3 linked regions of the Saccharomyces cerevisiae S288C genome follow. Changing the gene in region 1 together with any one later gene gives a genetic interaction. Each region holds a gene or a part of one and is shown on either strand. Other genes may lie near its edges.

The links.
Region 2: mutations in PER1 (region 1) and ERG4 together harm fitness more than expected from each alone (negative genetic interaction), as found in Saccharomyces cerevisiae (3 studies listed by BioGRID).
Region 3: mutations in PER1 (region 1) and ALG5 together harm fitness more than expected from each alone (negative genetic interaction), as found in Saccharomyces cerevisiae (3 studies listed by BioGRID).

What each region holds. Positions count from the first base shown.
Region 1 is NC_001135.5:204,125-211,973, reverse strand, and holds PER1 (Per1p), read left to right. Parts: upstream 1-4,023; coding exon 4,024-5,097; downstream 5,098-7,849. Other genes in the region: ARE1 (sterol acyltransferase), read right to left, coding at 1-45; BUD23 (18S rRNA (guanine1575-N7)-methyltransferase), read left to right, coding at 429-1,256; mitochondrial 54S ribosomal protein bL19m IMG1, read left to right, coding at 1,551-2,060; RRT12 (Rrt12p), read left to right, coding at 2,364-3,839; YCR043C (uncharacterized protein), read left to right, coding at 5,330-5,713; transcription initiation factor TFIID subunit TAF2, read left to right, coding at 6,577-7,849. UniProt on the Saccharomyces cerevisiae protein: Involved in the lipid remodeling steps of GPI-anchor maturation. Lipid remodeling steps consist in the generation of 2 saturated fatty chains at the sn-2 position of GPI-anchors proteins.
Region 2 is NC_001139.9:469,904-475,595, reverse strand, and holds ERG4 (delta(24(24(1)))-sterol reductase), read right to left. Parts: upstream 2,742-5,692; coding exon 1,320-2,741; downstream 1-1,319. Other genes in the region: 2-hydroxy-palmitic acid dioxygenase MPO1, read right to left, coding at 1-51; SCL1 (proteasome core particle subunit alpha 1), read left to right, coding at 349-1,107; drug-responsive transcription factor PDR1, read left to right, coding at 3,298-5,692. UniProt on the Saccharomyces cerevisiae protein: C-24(28) sterol reductase; part of the third module of ergosterol biosynthesis pathway that includes the late steps of the pathway. ERG4 Catalyzes the last step of ergosterol biosynthesis by converting ergosta-5,7,22,24(28)-tetraen-3beta-ol into ergosterol.
Region 3 is NC_001148.4:118,844-124,265, reverse strand, and holds ALG5 (dolichyl-phosphate beta-glucosyltransferase), read left to right. Parts: upstream 1-3,098; coding exon 3,099-4,103; downstream 4,104-5,422. Other genes in the region: NEW1 (New1p), read right to left, coding at 1-2,499; CET1 (polynucleotide 5'-phosphatase), read right to left, coding at 4,235-5,422. UniProt on the Saccharomyces cerevisiae protein: Endoplasmic reticulum membrane-bound UDP-glucose:dolichyl-phosphate glucosyltransferase involved in protein N-linked glycosylation.

The DNA.
Region 1 (7,849 bases):
CTTAAGAAACTCTTCGTCTTGCAACAAATCCTTAGTCTCCGTCATTCTTGCAATCTGTTTTGGCGCTCTTGCTGCAAGCCGTGCTGAACAACCACCTGCGTGAGTGTGCCAATGGCGCCCCTTTCCTCCACCACGCTCGTCCTTCTTATATCATCCGCATGTTGCCAGGGTCTGCTGGGTGCTATTGTTCGCTAAACGAGTCCAACCACGGCCGGGTATTTGATGGCCAAGCCAGATTTTTTTTTTTTTTTCACTCTACACCATCTCACATTTTTCAATTTTATCGATAAAAAGAAGAGATGAGCAGCACATACATAGTGTGATAAAGAGGAAAAAAGCAGAAGAAGCAGAAGAAGAAGAGCATAGTAAAAAAGTAGTGCTAAAAAGGTGCGGTACGGAAACACAGGAAATATATCAGAGAAGAAATAATGTCACGTCCTGAGGAGTTGGCACCACCGGAGATTTTCTATAATGATAGCGAAGCACACAAGTACACGGGTTCGACCAGAGTGCAGCATATCCAGGCGAAGATGACGCTGAGGGCGTTGGAGCTTTTGAATCTGCAGCCGTGCAGTTTCATTCTGGATATCGGGTGCGGGTCCGGACTGTCTGGGGAGATTTTGACGCAGGAGGGAGACCATGTGTGGTGTGGTTTGGATATATCGCCCAGCATGCTTGCGACCGGTCTTAGTAGAGAGCTGGAGGGCGACTTGATGTTGCAGGATATGGGCACCGGGATACCGTTCCGGGCGGGCTCGTTTGACGCGGCTATTAGTATCAGTGCGATCCAATGGCTGTGCAATGCGGACACTTCATACAACGATCCTAAACAGCGGTTGATGAGGTTTTTCAACACATTGTATGCTGCACTGAAGAAGGGAGGGAAATTTGTGGCCCAGTTCTACCCGAAAAACGACGACCAGGTGGACGACATACTGCAGTCTGCCAAGGTGGCAGGGTTCAGTGGCGGGCTTGTGGTGGACGACCCAGAGTCTAAAAAGAATAAGAAGTACTACCTTGTGTTGAGCAGTGGGGCCCCACCGCAGGGGGAGGAGCAGGTGAATTTGGACGGTGTGACCATGGACGAGGAGAACGTCAACTTGAAGAAACAACTGCGCCAGCGCTTGAAGGGAGGCAAAGACAAGGAGTCTGCCAAGAGTTTCATTCTAAGAAAGAAGGAGCTCATGAAAAGACGTGGGAGGAAAGTTGCGAAGGACTCCAAGTTCACCGGGAGGAAAAGAAGACACAGGTTCTAGAAGAAACACACATCCTCACACGCATATTCTTTTGTATACTATAAAAATACACACTTATACATTTCCCTCTGTCTCTGTCTCCTTCTACATGTATACTTGTATATGTATACTTGTATATATACACTTATATCTGTATGTGAGTGGTCAATGGCTCCGCGCACTTTTATGTAGTGATGTATTTTCCTTTTTTTCTTGGTTTTCAATTTTGGTGCTTTGGAACTCCCAGTAAAGAAGAAGAAGAAGAATCGAGTCTTCCCTCTGAGCAGCTGCTGAAAGGGAGAGAGAACCATAGCGATGTGGAGCAGGAACGTCAGATTGCTTGGATCATGGACAAGGTCCTACATGGTCCCCGCCACCAAGAGAAAAACCATCCCCGTGTACCCACCTGTGCAGCGCATAGCTTCGTCGCAGATTATGAAGCAGGTGGCCCTCTCAGAAATAGAGTCTCTGGATCCCGGGGCCGTTAAGAGGAAGCTCATCAGTAAAAAGAACAAGGACCGCTTGAAGGCAGGCGACGTGGTCCGGATTGTGTACGACTCGTCCAAGTGCTCGTACGACACCTTTGTTGGCTACATCCTTTCCATAGACCGCAAACAACTGGTGCAAGACGCCTCGTTGCTGTTGCGGAACCAGATAGCCAAGACGGCCGTCGAGATTAGAGTGCCATTGTTTTCGCCGCTGATCGAGAGAATCGACTTGCTAACCCCCCACGTCTCGAGCAGACAAAGAAACAAACACTACTACATCAGAGGTACAAGGTTGGATGTCGGCGACCTCGAGGCAGGTCTAAGAAGAAAGAAATAGGCTAGGCGCGGGTTCTGTGGCCACCCATCTCCTGTATATAAGAAAAATAGTGCGTGTATAAAATCTACGTATACTAACTATGGGTAAAGTAAACCTTTTTGTACTGTTTTCTTTTTTTTTTTTTTGGTTTCCCGTAGTGATGACGTACGTGTATAGAGAATTGAAGCGAAAATAAAAAAAACGACACAAAATATTGTTCTCATTGGCTTTTTTATTTTCTATTTTACACAGCATATAGAGGTATACTCAAGTGCTAGACATCCTCTAACATCCGCCAAGAAAAACAGCAAAAAAACACTGGTCATGAAGCCACAGTGCATACTCATCTCTTTGCTGGTCAACCTCGCATACGCAGAGGAGTATTTGGTGAGGTTCAAAAATCCCACAGCATTCCAACAATTCACTTCGAATTCCAACAGGTCATGGAGACAGTTCATCGACAACAAAATTGAGAAGAAATTCTCCATCGGATCCTTCCGCGGCGTGACCATGAACCTGTCCAAGAACTTAGTGAACAAGCTGAAGAAAAGCCCACTGGTGGCTGATATTGTGCCCAACTTCAGGTTCGAAGCTTTTGAAGGCGACAGTGTAAATAGCGCCGAGTCGAGTTATACGTTTAACGCTACCGCCAAATACTCGTACGAAGACGTCGAGGAAGAGCAAAATATAACGTATCAACCAGACGCACCCCGTCACTTGGCCCGGATTTCCCGCCACTACCAACTCCCATTCGACGTTGGGGACAAGGACCGCTACAAAAGCTGGTTCAATTACTACTATGAACACGACTATCAAGGTCAAGACGTCAACGCCTATATCATGGATACGGGTATCTTCGCGGACCATCCGGAATTCGAAGACAGAGTCATCCAGGGGATTGACTTGACCAAAGAAGGGTTTGGCGACCAGAATGGCCACGGAACGCACGTGGCGGGACTCGTAGGTTCCAAAACGTATGGAGCGGCAAAGAGGGTCAATCTTGTGGAGGTCAAAGTCTTGGGCAAAGACGGGTCTGGCGAGGCCAGTAACGTTCTTAGTGGTCTGGAGTTCATCGTGGAACATTGCACAAAGGTCAGTCGCCCACAGGGTAAAAAATGCGTGGCCAATCTAAGTCTAGGGAGTTTCAGGAGCCCCATAATCAACATGGCAGTGGAGGGGGCCATTGAAGAAGGTATTGTATTTGTTGCCGCGGCGGGGAACTTCAATTTAGACGCCTACTGGGCCTCACCTGCGTCTGCAGAAAACGTTATCACCGTAGGGGCCTTTGATGACCACATTGACACGATTGCCAAGTTCAGCAATTGGGGGCCCTGTGTAAACATCTTTGCCCCAGGCGTGGAAATTGAGTCGCTATCTCATCTGAACTACAACGACACTTTAATTTTGTCAGGTACATCTATGTCGACGCCCATTGTCACCGGAGTTGCAGCGATCCTACTCTCGAAGGGAATTGAGCCTGAAATGATAGCACAGGAGATTGAGTATTTGTCCACGCGTAATGTTTTCCATAGAAGAACGTTGTTTTTCAAGCCTTCTACGCCAAACCAGATTCTTTACAACGGCGTCGATAAACTGGACGATCCATATGACGACGAAACGTTCCCTCGATTGAACATAGAGGCAATTGCTAAGGAACTGGAGGAGTACAATGCCACTTTACAAACTCCTATGTCTGAGAATCTTCAATCTGGTTCAAAACTGTGGGGTTGGAATAACGATGTCACACTACCTCTTGGTGAGATTCGATTGAAGAGGCGTGATTTTATGAAAAATTTGTAGTGTTTTTCTCTTTCTCTCATAAATAAATTATTGCATAATGTCATGTCAACATTAGTTTTTTCGCTCTTCTCTTGCGTATTCTTGTACTTTTCATTTTTCATTTTTCATAAAGCGAATAAAAGAGCAACCTAAGGTGTGAAACCATACCCTTCGGGAGAAAAGAAACAGAAGTGTGGCAAGAAATATGAGGTTAGCTGTGGTTGTGACCCTACTTGTTCACTGTTTCCTAGTGACATGCTCTCCAGGAGATAATTTAGATGAGTTTATAGACTGTACGTATGCGTGCGAGTATAACAGAAGATGTCCGAATTCCCAAATAAACTACATTGACCCTGAAACCAACATGTTTCATGATATTGAGTTTTTCGATACCCCGCCTTTGTACTCTAAGTTATTGTTCTGGGATTGTATCTCAGATTGTGATTACCAATGTCAGCACATCATTACGCGCTGGAGAATTGACGAAGAGGAAGAAATATACCAATTCCATGGGAAATGGCCATTTTTGAGAGTATTGGGGACTCAGGAATTCTTCTCGACGATATTCAGTATAGGTAACTTTATTCCACATTATAAGGGATTTGTAAAGTTTTCTAGAATCATACGCGAAGAGGGAGATAGGAGGAGAAAAAACAGCAGAAGTATACTGATTTGGAACTACCTTTACGTTACTGTGGCGGGAATGTTGGCTTGGACAGCAAGCTCGGTCTTTCACTGTCGTGATTTGATCATAACGGAGAAGCTAGATTACTTTTTCGCAGGTTTAACTGTCCTAACAGGGTTTCATGCAATATTTGCAAGAATGACTTCCATGTTCCTGTACCCCAAGATAGCACAAGCGTTCACTGCGTCAGTTGCGGCAATCTTTGCCCTGCACATCTTGAGACTCTATGTTGACTGGTCGTACACATACAACATGAGATTCAACATTTTTTTCGGTGTTTTACAGTATATTTTATTGATAATGTTATCATGCCAAAACTACCATGCTCTGCAAAAGCAAAAGCTAATGGGCGAATTCAAGAAAACCGCGTACTCCAGCTTCAAGCGGCAAATCTTCAAACTGTGTGTCATTCCAATTCTTCTTGTGATTGTAACCACAATGGCCATGTCATTGGAACTGTTTGACTTTTTTAGTTACGAATGGCAGATTGATGCCCATGCGCTATGGCATCTGTGCACAATATGGCCCTCGTGGGTATTGTACGACTTTTTCCTCGAGGATTATGCCTATTGGGGTAATAGACAATTGTACTAAATATCTTAATTCACCTGTTTACTATCATGAATAATAGTTATATATGTATTTTTTTTTGTTTATTTTTGATTTTCTTTTACCGTTATCACATTCTGTTTATTTTTCACTTTTTTTTCGCTCTTTCTGTATGTATAGAACTAAATGCAAAAGAATATTTGTGCCAAGATAAGGCCAAGAAATTTTTGGGGCAACAGTAGGCAGTGAAAGCGCTCTTAACGTACTTTGGCAAAGGATGATCCCAGCTCCACTTGATGCTTCCTTATTGAGAGAACATGCATTCCAAGGAACTAATGATCTAAGCACAGTTTTGAGTCCAAGTACGTTTACCGATGAAGGTGGATATAAACCTGTATTGAAATACGGACTCGGTTATTTCAATTATGGACTGGTTATAGACGATGAAGTGTATGATTATTCAGTGTGTGATATCATAAGGGGTCACGTTTACGATCATTTTTGGTGTTATTTCTGTTGTTTCATGATTTTGTTTACTATCTGGTTAATAAGTTTAAATTGGTGTCCCAGCAGCAAGAAAAGCAAGTTTGATTGGAGCAAGAAGAAGGACGACTTTAAGATGGAAGGAGGTGATTTAGAGTACCAACATGTAAAGATCTAAATCTACATCGTTCTCAGGACGACTTATTACTGCTGGTTTCGAAGGAATAACAATGCATTTTTTTATCCCACCATTTTCCTCGTTTATTACAAAAAGCAATGAAATAATATGTATATGTCTACATAGAGATATTATTATAGTAATAATGCATTTTCTATTTGATTTTAATTTAATTTATTTTATTTTTTTTGGATGTTTAAAGTTGAAAATAATAAAATGATTAACTATTGACAGAGGGGTAAGTGGGGTTGTTACCTTTTTCCTTTTGGTTAAAGGAATAAATGTTTTCTTATAACATAAAAAAAGCTATAGTTATATAAACAAGGATTGCGAATTCTTAGAAACATATTCCATGGTTATTTTTTTTATTTTTTACTGCATTCAATTATTTGAAGAAACTGTCCATCAAACATAAGTTTCTTGATAATGTGCTGTTTGTAGTGAACTAGAATTGTTATAATAATATGCTGCAATTTTTATCAGATTGCTTCAAAATCTGAGTGATAATTGTATTTTTTTTATTTATTTAATCCAAGAGTTATTCTAAAATCGCACTAAAATTAGTAAAAAAATCAAAAAAAAAAAAGCTGCAGACATCTAAAATGGTTGTGAATCATTCTTGCGGATATCGTGCTACAAAATCAGTCTTATTTAATTCAATAAAATACATAGAACTTTCAATATAGTGAATATTTTTGGTATTACCTTAAGTAACCGGGTAACACTTAAATACTTTTGCCGAATGGGGCAATTGGTAAATTGCGTAAGATGAAAACTATAGTAAAATGGAACGGATGTAAAAGTATTTTTTGATGAAGTTTTGGACAGTGAAGAGGTGACAACAGGATAAATAGGTGGACTTCATGATGTCCTTTTCCAAAAACGCCACTCCTAGAGCCATTGTTAGTGAATCTAGCACTTTGCATGAGATGAAGTTTAGAAATTTTAGAGTTGCCCATGAAAAAATCTCGTTGGATATAGATCTAGCTACTCACTGCATTACCGGTAGCGCTACTATAATAATCATTCCGTTGATCCAAAACCTAGAATATGTAACTTTTGATTGCAAGGAAATGACTATTAAAGATGTTCTGGTCGAAAATCGTCGATGTGATCAATTTATTCATGACGACCCACTTCAAACAAATTTGAATGGATTGACTTCACAAAATGTATTATACAGCGACAATTCCATTGAACAGTCACATTTTTTGAGATCTAAGTTTGCTAGCTTGAATGAATACCCAGAAACGGACTCTAAATCCCAGTTAACTATAAAAATACCATCTTCCATCAAAATATCTTTGGAGGACGCCAATGCATTAAGTAATTACACTCCGATTACTCCTTCAATTAAGACTACCCCTGGGTTTCAAGAATCTGTTTTCACTCCAATTACATTACAAATTGAATATGAAATCAGAAACCCAAAGTCGGGTATTAAATTCGATACTGTGTATGCTGACAAGCCCTGGTTATGGAACGTTTACACTTCAAATGGTGAGATTTGCAGTTCTGCATCATATTGGGTCCCATGTGTCGATTTGCTTGATGAAAAATCTACATGGGAGTTAGAATTCAGCGTACCGAGATTGGTTAAAAATATAGGTACTTCGAAATTAATCGGACAAAATGGAGAAGAGAGTGAAAAAGAGAAGGAGGATACGCCTGAGCACGATGAAGAGGAAGAGGGGAAGCCGGCAAGAGTTATCAAAGACGAAGATAAGGATTCTAACTTGAAAAATGACGAAGAAGGCAAAAATAGTAAAAGCAAAGATGCACAAGATAATGATGAAGAAGAAGAGGAAGGCGAAAGTGACGAAGAGGAAGAGGAAGGGGAAGAGGAAAGGCGGAATATTGAGGAAAGCAACAATCCGAGTTTGAGGGATGTGATTGTGTGTTGTTCAGAATATTCAAATATTAAAGAACTTCCGCACCCGATTGATTTGACGAAAAAAAAATGCATATTTCAGATAATTAATCCTGTGGCTCCACATCACATTGGTTGGGCTATAGGCGCCTTTAATTCATGGTCTTTACCTTTGATATCACCTCCAAGTGTTGATGCCGAGGACGAAGTAGAGGAAGACAAGTTGAGAGAGAATGTTGTGGACAATGTTAACGATACTATGGATG
Region 2 (5,692 bases), on another chromosome or scaffold:
AAACTTGTAAAATCCAAGCTGAGATCTTAAATCCAGCAAACCTTCGCCCATATTTATTCTTTTATAACAGAAGAAGAGACTATATTCTCAAAACCTCGTATATTTATATACATATCCTCCAAACAAACTCCCAAGTTTCACTTTCCTGGATTTACCTTGGCATTCCTTTTCCCCATCCTCTTATAATGGTAATCGCGATCCTTAATTATGATATCACAATAGACGAAGGGCACACACCAATTTGCCACCGTAAGGATAGAGTAAGTTAAATGGCTAACTCATTATAATCTTCATGCTAAATCATATAAGGGCAGAGACGAAGCAAAGCGAAAAAAACATATTACAATCATGTCGGGTGCTGCTGCTGCATCTGCTGCTGGTTATGACAGGCACATCACTATCTTTTCCCCCGAGGGTCGTTTATATCAAGTAGAATATGCCTTTAAAGCGACTAATCAAACTAACATAAACTCACTAGCGGTCAGAGGTAAAGATTGTACAGTGGTGATAAGTCAGAAAAAGGTCCCTGATAAACTGTTGGATCCAACTACTGTTTCGTATATTTTTTGTATTTCAAGAACAATTGGTATGGTAGTGAACGGACCAATACCGGATGCAAGAAATGCGGCCCTAAGAGCCAAGGCTGAGGCTGCAGAATTCCGTTATAAATATGGTTATGATATGCCATGCGATGTATTGGCTAAGAGAATGGCTAACCTTTCCCAAATCTATACTCAAAGAGCATATATGAGACCATTAGGTGTTATACTCACATTTGTTTCGGTAGATGAAGAATTGGGTCCCTCCATTTACAAAACTGACCCTGCAGGTTATTACGTTGGCTACAAAGCTACTGCGACAGGACCAAAACAACAGGAGATCACAACAAACTTAGAAAACCATTTCAAAAAGAGTAAAATCGACCATATTAATGAAGAATCATGGGAGAAGGTGGTAGAATTTGCTATTACTCATATGATTGACGCACTGGGTACCGAATTTTCAAAGAATGACTTGGAAGTCGGTGTCGCTACAAAGGACAAATTCTTTACCTTGAGTGCTGAGAACATCGAAGAAAGGCTAGTAGCAATTGCTGAACAAGATTAACATACTTCCTGCCACAACATAATGTGAAATCACACGCGTCAACACTCAATATATGTATGGACACGTTTCATTTAGGATTTATTTTATAGGAAAAAGTAGATCAAGTAATAGAAAATCGAATCTTTTCAAGCCCTTTTGTCGCGTAAATACATCAATACTTTTATATACAAACTGTAAAATAAGTTAATGAAGTGGATAGAAAAAGAAAATAACTAGAAAACATAAGGAATAAAGACGTAAGGGCAATGTTTACAATACTCATCCCAATCTTTTCCGTACTTTCTCTTACATTTTGCTTGGTCTCTGAAGGCTCTGTGAATCAGGACAACAAGGAAGAATACTGGGAAAAACCATGGGAACACCGAGTTGAACCCGCAAGACAAGGCCCAAACGAGAGATTGAGTCCAATCGGCAGTGTAGTGAATTTTTCTAGCCAAAGTGTACCAACCATCAATCAATAGGTACGATCCATTGGAGGTAACCATATACTTTGGATTCTTCAAAATTTGGTATGGCAAAAATGGGAAAGTCTTCCTACCTGTCTTGTCACCAGACATTTGCTTTCTGAAGGCATTTTTCTGAGCATTTGCCGTGTCAAAGAAGTAGTAGGCGCATAATAGAACAACGTACAGCGAAACATTGTACAGTGTAGACCAGTGATATTCAGATGGGTCATGGTAGTACAAATACAACGTACAATGACAGTAAGTGTATGGGACACCGGCAATATTCCAGAAGATCAGCATAAATCCAAACTTTTCGTAAGCCATGTCCCAGGTTGGAACAATCAATTCTTCACCTTTAGCACATGCGTTCGCGTACAACCAATGAGCTAACATGACAACCCCCAATTGTGGTGTCACATAGCCGTAAGTCTCCCACTGCTTCAAACAGGCACCCAAAGTGATAAAGTAAAGGGTGAACCAAGGTAATCTAACCTCGAAAAACATCTTCAAGTCCAAAATCCCCCACCTAGGGTTTAGTGGAGCTCCCATGAAGAAATCATATAGATGGTTTCCTGTCATTCTATGATAGTCATGTGAGATAAATAAAGTCCATAAGTACAATATGATGGAGAAGGCAAACCCTGAAATAATGGCACATGTCATGATCCTCCCAAAACGGTCAATAATGACATACAATCTAAAAAGATTGGTAAAGTGCAAAACCAAGACCAAAGTGGTAGTTACATACAAGGTCCACATGGCATTACAAAAGTAAGGCAATTGTTTTCCCTTCAAATGAGACAATGGTTGACCTTTTGTCCAAATCCCGGGCAACGTATAGTAGAAAATGATCTGAAACACCCAAAATGTTAAGAAAATAGTCCAGTCATACTTTTCTGGGATACCGTTCTCCAAGACTAACTGGTATAGGTGCTTGATAAAGTGCATCCACGATTCACCAGCCTTGGGTAGGGCAACCTTACCGTGATAAAATTCCGCACAAATCCACATATAGTACATTAGCAGTGGAAACCCGATCAGCATACCAATAACACCAGTAGTCCCACCAAACTCATATTCGATTTCATTTGGCTTCAGCCATTTACCCTGAGGCAGGAAATTAACCGGTTGCTTGGACTTTTTCTCCTCTCCCTGCACCTGCAGCTTCTCACTATTATCCTTTGCCATAGCGATGCTAATCTATGTACACTACGTAAATATCCGTATCTGCCTATCTACATAACTGAACTACATTCCTACGTTATTACCACTGTTTGGTAATTTTTCCTCGAGGATATATAATTCTGCTTTTCCATAGTAACGCCAAACGATCGCGTAATACCGGCAATTACGGGATGCACGAAAATAGCGCCAAGGAACGAAAAAGAAATGAGTCTCGTTTAGTTATTAAACGAGAAGAAACGAGCCCTGATTTACATTCTCAGGGTCCAATAGGGCTTTGTTGGAAACAGACGCATACCCTAAATGGAGTTTCTTTTCTTGTTCAAGACCTAATGAGTGGCAATAAGAGGCGCTAATTAAAGCTCTTCAAAACAACCTTATTCGCCTATTACACATGATCAGCCACTCTTTCATTGTCAACAATAGCATGATAGCAGGACCATAGCGGCCATATAGACATTACCAGGAGTGAGTTTTGGCTAAAAAAAGACAATTTGCACATCACTTGCTAACTATTCATCTCAGCCAAGAATATACAGAAAAGAATCCAAGAAACTGGAAGATGCGAGGCTTGACACCTAAGAACGGTGTACATATTGAGACGGGTCCGGATACAGAATCGTCCGCGGACTCCAGCAACTTTTCTACAGGTTTCAGCGGCAAGATTCGTAAGCCAAGGTCGAAAGTAAGTAAAGCGTGCGATAACTGTAGAAAAAGAAAGATAAAATGTAATGGGAAGTTTCCCTGCGCAAGCTGTGAGATATATTCATGTGAGTGCACGTTCAGCACTAGACAAGGTGGCGCTCGAATAAAAAACCTTCACAAGACGAGTTTGGAAGGTACAACCGTACAAGTCAAAGAGGAAACAGATTCCAGTTCGACTTCTTTTTCTAATCCTCAGCGATGTACAGACGGGCCATGCGCAGTGGAACAACCAACGAAATTTTTTGAGAATTTCAAGCTAGGTGGTCGTAGTAGTGGTGATAATAGCGGAAGTGATGGGAAGAATGACGACGATGTGAATAGAAACGGTTTTTATGAAGACGATAGCGAATCACAGGCAACTTTGACATCTCTACAAACCACTCTGAAAAATTTGAAGGAGATGGCTCATTTAGGTACACATGTAACCTCAGCCATCGAGAGCATTGAACTTCAGATAAGTGACTTGCTTAAGCGATGGGAACCCAAAGTGAGGACCAAAGAATTAGCAACAACGAAATTTTACCCTAATAAATCAATAGAAACTCAATTGATGAAAAACAAATACTGTGATGTGGTACATTTGACAAGATATGCCGCTTGGTCAAACAATAAGAAGGACCAAGATACTTCTAGTCAACCTTTGATCGACGAAATCTTTGGTTTGTACTCTCCTTTCCAATTTTTGTCACTTCAAGGTATTGGTAAATGTTTCCAAAATTATAGATCCAAATCCAAATGCGAGATTTTTCCCAGGACCGCCAAGGAAACCATATACATCATGTTAAGGTTTTTCGACGTTTGTTTTCATCACATCAACCAAGGCTGTGTCTCCATAGCTAATCCCCTGGAAAACTACCTACAGAAAATGAATCTTTTACCTTCAACCCCATCTTCGATATCATCTGCAGGGAGCCCGAATACAGCACACACAAAATCGCATGTTGCGTTAGTGATAAATCACTTACCGCAGCCCTTTGTGAGAAATATAACCGGAATAAGTAATTCTGAGCTACTAAGCGAAATGAATAATGATATCAGCATGTTTGGCATTTTATTGAAGATGTTGGATATGCATAAAAATTCCTACCAGAACTTCCTAATGGAAATCACATCTAACCCCTCCGTGGCTAAAAACACGCAGTCAATTGATGTCTTGCAGGAATTCATCCATTATTGTCAAGCTGGAGAGGCGCTAATCGCCTTATGTTACAGCTATTATAATTCTACATTATACAACTACGTGGACTTCACATGCGACATAACGCATTTAGAGCAACTTCTATACTTTTTGGATCTGCTATTTTGGCTATCGGAAATATACGGTTTTGAAAAAGTCTTGAACGTAGCAGTTCATTTTGTTTCAAGAGTTGGTTTATCAAGGTGGGAATTTTACGTGGGTCTTGATGAAAACTTTGCTGAAAGAAGAAGAAATCTCTGGTGGAAAGCTTTCTATTTCGAGAAAACTTTAGCCTCTAAACTTGGCTATCCTTCGAACATTGATGACTCCAAAATCAATTGTTTATTACCTAAGAATTTTCGAGATGTTGGGTTCTTGGATAATAGAGATTTTATCGAGAACGTCCACTTAGTTCGCAGGAGCGAAGCTTTTGACAACATGTGCATATCCGACTTAAAATACTATGGCGAATTAGCTGTCTTACAAATAGTCAGCCATTTCTCATCATCTGTTTTATTCAATGAAAAATTCACGTCAATTAGGAATACATCAAAACCATCTGTTGTTAGAGAGAAACTACTCTTCGAGGTACTCGAGATTTTTAACGAAACAGAAATGAAATATGATGCTATCAAAGAGCAAACTGGAAAATTGTTCGATATTGCATTCTCTAAAGATAGTACTGAACTCAAAGTTTCAAGAGAGGATAAGATTATGGCTTCAAAATTTGTTCTATTTTACGAGCACCATTTCTGCAGAATGGTTAACGAATCTGATAATATTGTCGCCAGATTATGCGTGCACAGAAGGCCCTCAATACTAATTGAAAACTTGAAAATATACCTTCACAAGATTTACAAATCATGGACCGATATGAACAAAATCTTATTAGACTTTGACAACGATTATTCCGTATACCGTTCGTTCGCCCATTATTCTATCAGTTGCATTATTTTGGTATCACAAGCATTCTCAGTGGCCGAATTCATTAAAGTAAATGACGTTGTGAATATGATTAGAGTCTTCAAAAGATTTTTGGATATAAAAATTTTTTCCGAAAATGAGACCAATGAGC
Region 3 (5,422 bases), on another chromosome or scaffold:
GGAGACATGGCTTAAGGAAGGCTTTTGGGCACCTGGATAAGAGAAAGTTACATCAGTCATTTTAGCGACGGCTCTAGTGTTAGACTTAACACCTGTTAAAATACCTGGGGGTGGGAAACGCATTTGAGCATTAGAATCTGTTAAGGTATAGTAAGATTTAGCTTCAGGTTTCTGCTCAACAAATGCTGCCAAGTTACCTTTGTAGTAAGCCAATTTCTTGTTTTCATAATGGATGATGTCAGTACAGACTGTATCTAAGAAACCAGAGTCATGCGAAACAATCAATGAAGTAATATCAGTATGTTCCAGTAAGTATTCTTCTAACCATTTAACGTTCGAAACATCTAAATGATTGGTAGGTTCATCCAGCAATAAAATATCAGCTTTTTGTAACATAGCTCTTGCCAATTCCAACTTCATTTTCCAACCACCAGATAAAGATCCAACAGTTTGTGCTCTTCTCTCTTCATCAAAACCGACAGATTCTAAAGCGGCTGCAATTTCCTCACGAGAAGTAGATTGCAGTTCTTCATCTAAAGCAATGAAGGAAACCAAGTCTAAATCACCTTCTTCACCTTGCAATTTATGTTCGACGAAACAGGTGCGTAATGTATCCTTGTCAGGAAAACCATCCAATTGACCATTAGCAATTGCTCTCATTAAAGTAGACTTACCAGCACCATTTCTACCACACAAACCGTAACGATGACCCTTTAGGAGACGAAGATTTGTTTTGTTCAAAAGCATTCTTGAACCATAAGCTAAGGAGAAATCAGTGTTGACAATCTCAATACCTTCGTCCTCATCTGCCCTTTCCTTTTCTTGGTAGAATAAAGCTCTCAAGTTATGGATAAAGTCTTGTTTGACAAATTCTCTTTGTGAATCTGAACCACCAAAAACGGCGGTCAAAAAATCTTCAAGTCTTTTCCAGTCGTTCACATTAGAATCCACGGTCAAAATCTTGCTCATATACTTGATAACAGTTTCGTCATTCATGTAAGGCTTGACAAAACAGGAATCATCAGCTTTAATGTCCTTGAGGTGATCAAGTAAGAAATCCCTACCTTCTTCTAAAGTCAGTCTGCCTGAGAATTTGTTTTCCTTATCAGCTTCGTCATCTTCTTTTAGAACGTTAAGGGCCTTTTCAGCCAATTCACGAACTTCAGGTAAGGACGCAGTATCAACAACCTTTTGGATACCGGGTAGTAGTAGAGGGATGAAGCTTTCAATTTCATTACGATTATTCACCAATCTTGTCAAATTCTCCACGACAATAACGGTTTGTCTTAATTGCTCTTGAGATGATGACGATAGGTTTAAAGATCTGTTTAGAATAGGAACTAACAAAGATAGTGAAGGTTCCGTAACTTCAGCGACAAATGTAACACTGGATAACGATTTTACAGATTCAGGAACCTTAGATGGATCTTGCAGGGTGTCCACGATCAATTTATAACGAGGAGACAAATCTAAGTTATCCAAAATAGAAACGTAGTCCAATAAAGTTTTGTAACCTTGTTTGGCCAATTCAGGTTTGAAATCAGTTGCTACATCGGTTAAAACTGGAACTGCATCTTTGAAAGTAAGTTCCAATAAATCGTTCGCCGAATCTTCTCTTATTCTATCTACAACGCTTAGAGCGGCCATTTTAGCTTGCCATTTGGCACCAGATGATAAGTAATCCAAAATCGTAGGCAGTACAAAACAGGTTAAAGCCTCCATTGGAAAGCAATTCAACAAAGAATCAATGGCATGTTGCGCGGCACGTTTGACTGTATTCTCTTTATCTGAAATACAGTCAAGTGCGACATTGAAGAATGGTAGCAAGTATGCTTCCTGTGGTGGCTTTCCACTGAAAAATTGAGCAATGTTGGAAATTATTAGCATGGCAGATTCTCTAACTAATGATGGATTCTTAGGTTTGATGAATTTAGATAGAACATCGACGATTTTCCACTCTTCAATTTTCTCACCCGTACTGTTACCTTCTTTGCCAAATTCTTCAATGATTAGTTTGATTTGATTTTTGCAATCAGTGATACTTTGACATTCAGGTATCTTTGACAAAAATTGAGAGATGGGTGTTAACTCTAAGTTCGACAGCTTTTCATTCAAAGAGGTCAAAGATGTAGTAGAAGCAGATGGAGTTGGAGTTCCACTTTGGTTGGGCGTCACAGCCGATTGTTTGTAAGTAGATTTTTGATAGCCCTGGCCATTGTATTTATTATAGTTATTGTAGTTGTTATAATTGTTGTAGTTGTTGTAGTTGTTGTAATTGTTGTAATTACTGTTATACGATTGGTAACCACCTTGTTGGTAGTTGCCCCCCTGTTTCCAATTACGCTGTTGTTGGTAGCTACTTTTTTTGGAAGCGTTATTACTACCGGCATCAGCAGCAGGGTTTTTAAAATAACCACCGAAGGGAGAAGCGACTAGATTTGGGTCCTTTGGTTGGTCGTCAAGGAAAGAGTTTAGATCCTTAAACTTCTTTGGAGGCATCCTGAGTTGAATTAGCACTGATTGTCGTTGTATTTACAGTTTACAAGATATAAATTATGCACTATAGATCGACGCATATGTATTATCTTAAATAGGTTGCAATATATTATTATTTTTTAACATTTATTGCGATGCTGCTGAAAATTTTTTTTCCACCTTGAAACTTTTCTTTTTCCATTGAAAAATTAGATGTGGTGTTTGGGTTTATTCCATTTGATCTTGTAACTTCTATACTAGTCACAACTAACAAGTCCAAAGTCAAGTGTACATAGTTATCCTATTTTCACCGTTATCACTTCAGTACCTTTTAATTTATATATATTAATGCACATGGCTCTGTTGTATCTTTCGAAGCAGTGTATGCCATTTTTTTCATGAGAAAGCGAAATTTGGCGTATTCGAAAAAAAGTGTAAACAAGAAGAAAACGTGCCAATTTTCAAGGCTTTATCGCAATTAAAGTGGCACAAAGGACCATAGTCACTGTGGAAAGGTAGTGGTATCTAATTGGATGCTGTAAGGATAGATTAGGTGCTTTTGATAACGTAAGAAAGGGACAAAAACAGAGAGGCAGCCAAAAATTACACAAAGCACAACAAAAATGAGAGCGTTGAGATTCCTGATTGAGAACAGAAACACTGTCTTTTTTACGCTCTTAGTAGCCTTGGTGCTTTCACTGTATTTATTGGTCTATTTATTTTCGCATACACCAAGGCCGCCATATCCAGAGGAGCTCAAATACATAGCTATTGATGAAAAAGGTCATGAAGTTAGTCGTGCCTTACCTAACTTGAATGAACACCAAGATGACGAAGAAATATTTTTATCTGTTGTTATCCCAAGCTATAATGAGACAGGTAGAATTTTACTAATGTTGACAGACGCAATCAGCTTTTTAAAGGAAAAATATGGTTCCAGATGGGAGATTGTCATAGTGGATGATGGTTCCACAGATAATACCACACAATACTGTTTGAAAATTTGTAAAGAACAGTTCAAATTGAACTACGAACAATTCAGAATCATCAAGTTTTCTCAAAACAGAGGCAAAGGTGGCGCAGTGAGACAAGGTTTTTTACATATTAGAGGTAAGTATGGTCTTTTTGCCGATGCTGATGGTGCTAGTAAGTTCAGTGATGTAGAAAAACTAATAGATGCTATTAGCAAAATTGAAACGTCTAGTACAGATCTAAAAACGACTAAACCAGCAGTAGCAATTGGTTCCAGAGCACATATGGTAAATACCGAAGCCGTCATAAAGAGATCAATGATAAGAAACTGCTTGATGTACGGTTTCCATACCTTAGTTTTCATCTTCGGCATCAGGTCTATCAAAGACACACAATGTGGATTCAAATTGTTCAACAGAGCCGCTATATTGAAAATTTTTCCGTATTTGCATACAGAGGGTTGGATCTTTGACGTTGAAATTTTGATCTTAGCCATCAGAAAAAGAATCCAAATTGAGGAGATACCAATTTCCTGGCATGAGGTTGATGGCTCTAAGATGGCTTTAGCTATTGATAGTATCAAAATGGCGAAAGACTTGGTTATTATAAGAATGGCCTATTTATTAGGGATATATAGAGATAATAAGAAATGTTAGAGTAATTATTTTTATGTTATTATTATCATTATTATTATTATTACATAAGCTTTCATAACAGCATTTGAGTAAACAAAAAAAATTTCTCGCTCAAGGGCATTTGCTTATTTTTTTTTGAAATGATTCAAATATTACATGACTTTCTTTGAACCTTCAAAAATTTCATATGATAAAGACGATAACTTTCTTCTAATAATTGTACCATTATTCAGAAACGTTCTAATAAGAGATGCATATTCTTTACTATCGTTCGTTATGTTATCAAAGGCGTTTAACAGTGCAGGCGTGTTGATTTCTAGTTCCACTTCGTGAGTGGTCTCTGATTGTCTACTTTTTGAATTTTGGTTATGATTTTCGACTTTTGTAATATCAATTCTGGTACAGGAATCATTATGAATGTAACTAACACGGTCTTTCGTCCTTTCACTAATTGGGCTTTGAGATTTATATTTTTCTGGCGGATCGTTGTCAGGTACAGGTAATTCCAAGTTTAGGGAGATTTTAACGTCGTAACTATCTTTTGGTGAATATAATAGTAGTTGGGCTACATGTCTTTTCTCTATAAATTGTCCTACCCTCCCAGTCTTAATATCTGTACTCATTCTCAAAAACCTTGGTCTTTGCGTGGATAGTCCGACTCTATAGACGGAATCTCTTGTCTGGGATTCAATAATACTGAATTTACCTGTATTTTCAGTGACTTCGCTAATACCACGAATATATTTGCTCAACTCTTTGAACAAAGATGCATCAATATTAGGCGTTAGATGGGCATCAAGCTCAGTGAAAACACATTGTGAAGAAACTGGTGGATTTACACGATCTGGGCCTTTCGCATCAATAATAACACCAAATTTCATTTCTAACTCAATGAAGGATCTTAGTTCAGGAGCAATTGAGTATATTGTAGCATAAACCCAGTCCTGTACTGACTTTGTTAAGTCATCATCGGGAATAATGTTTAAAAAAGATGGGTCAATTTTGAGATCTTTCACATTTATACTTTGAAGAGCTTTGATAGTAGGTTTCCATTTTTGTGCCCAAATTGGAACATTCCTGTACTTACTGGGCTTGGAAGACGCAGATATTTCATTCAGAACCTCCAAATCTCTCTTGATATTATTCTTTTTTGATTGTAAAGTAGCTTTCTCTTCAAAAATATTATCTACAGCTGCATTCGCTTCTTCTTCCTTCTTGACCACGCTTCCTACTGCATTTCCCGCTATCTTCTTCTCAGTTTGCTTCTGCTTTTGCAGAGGTACTTGGGTTATATAGTTGCTGGCAATGTTCCCTTCATTACCTTGTTTCGGTATTCTCTG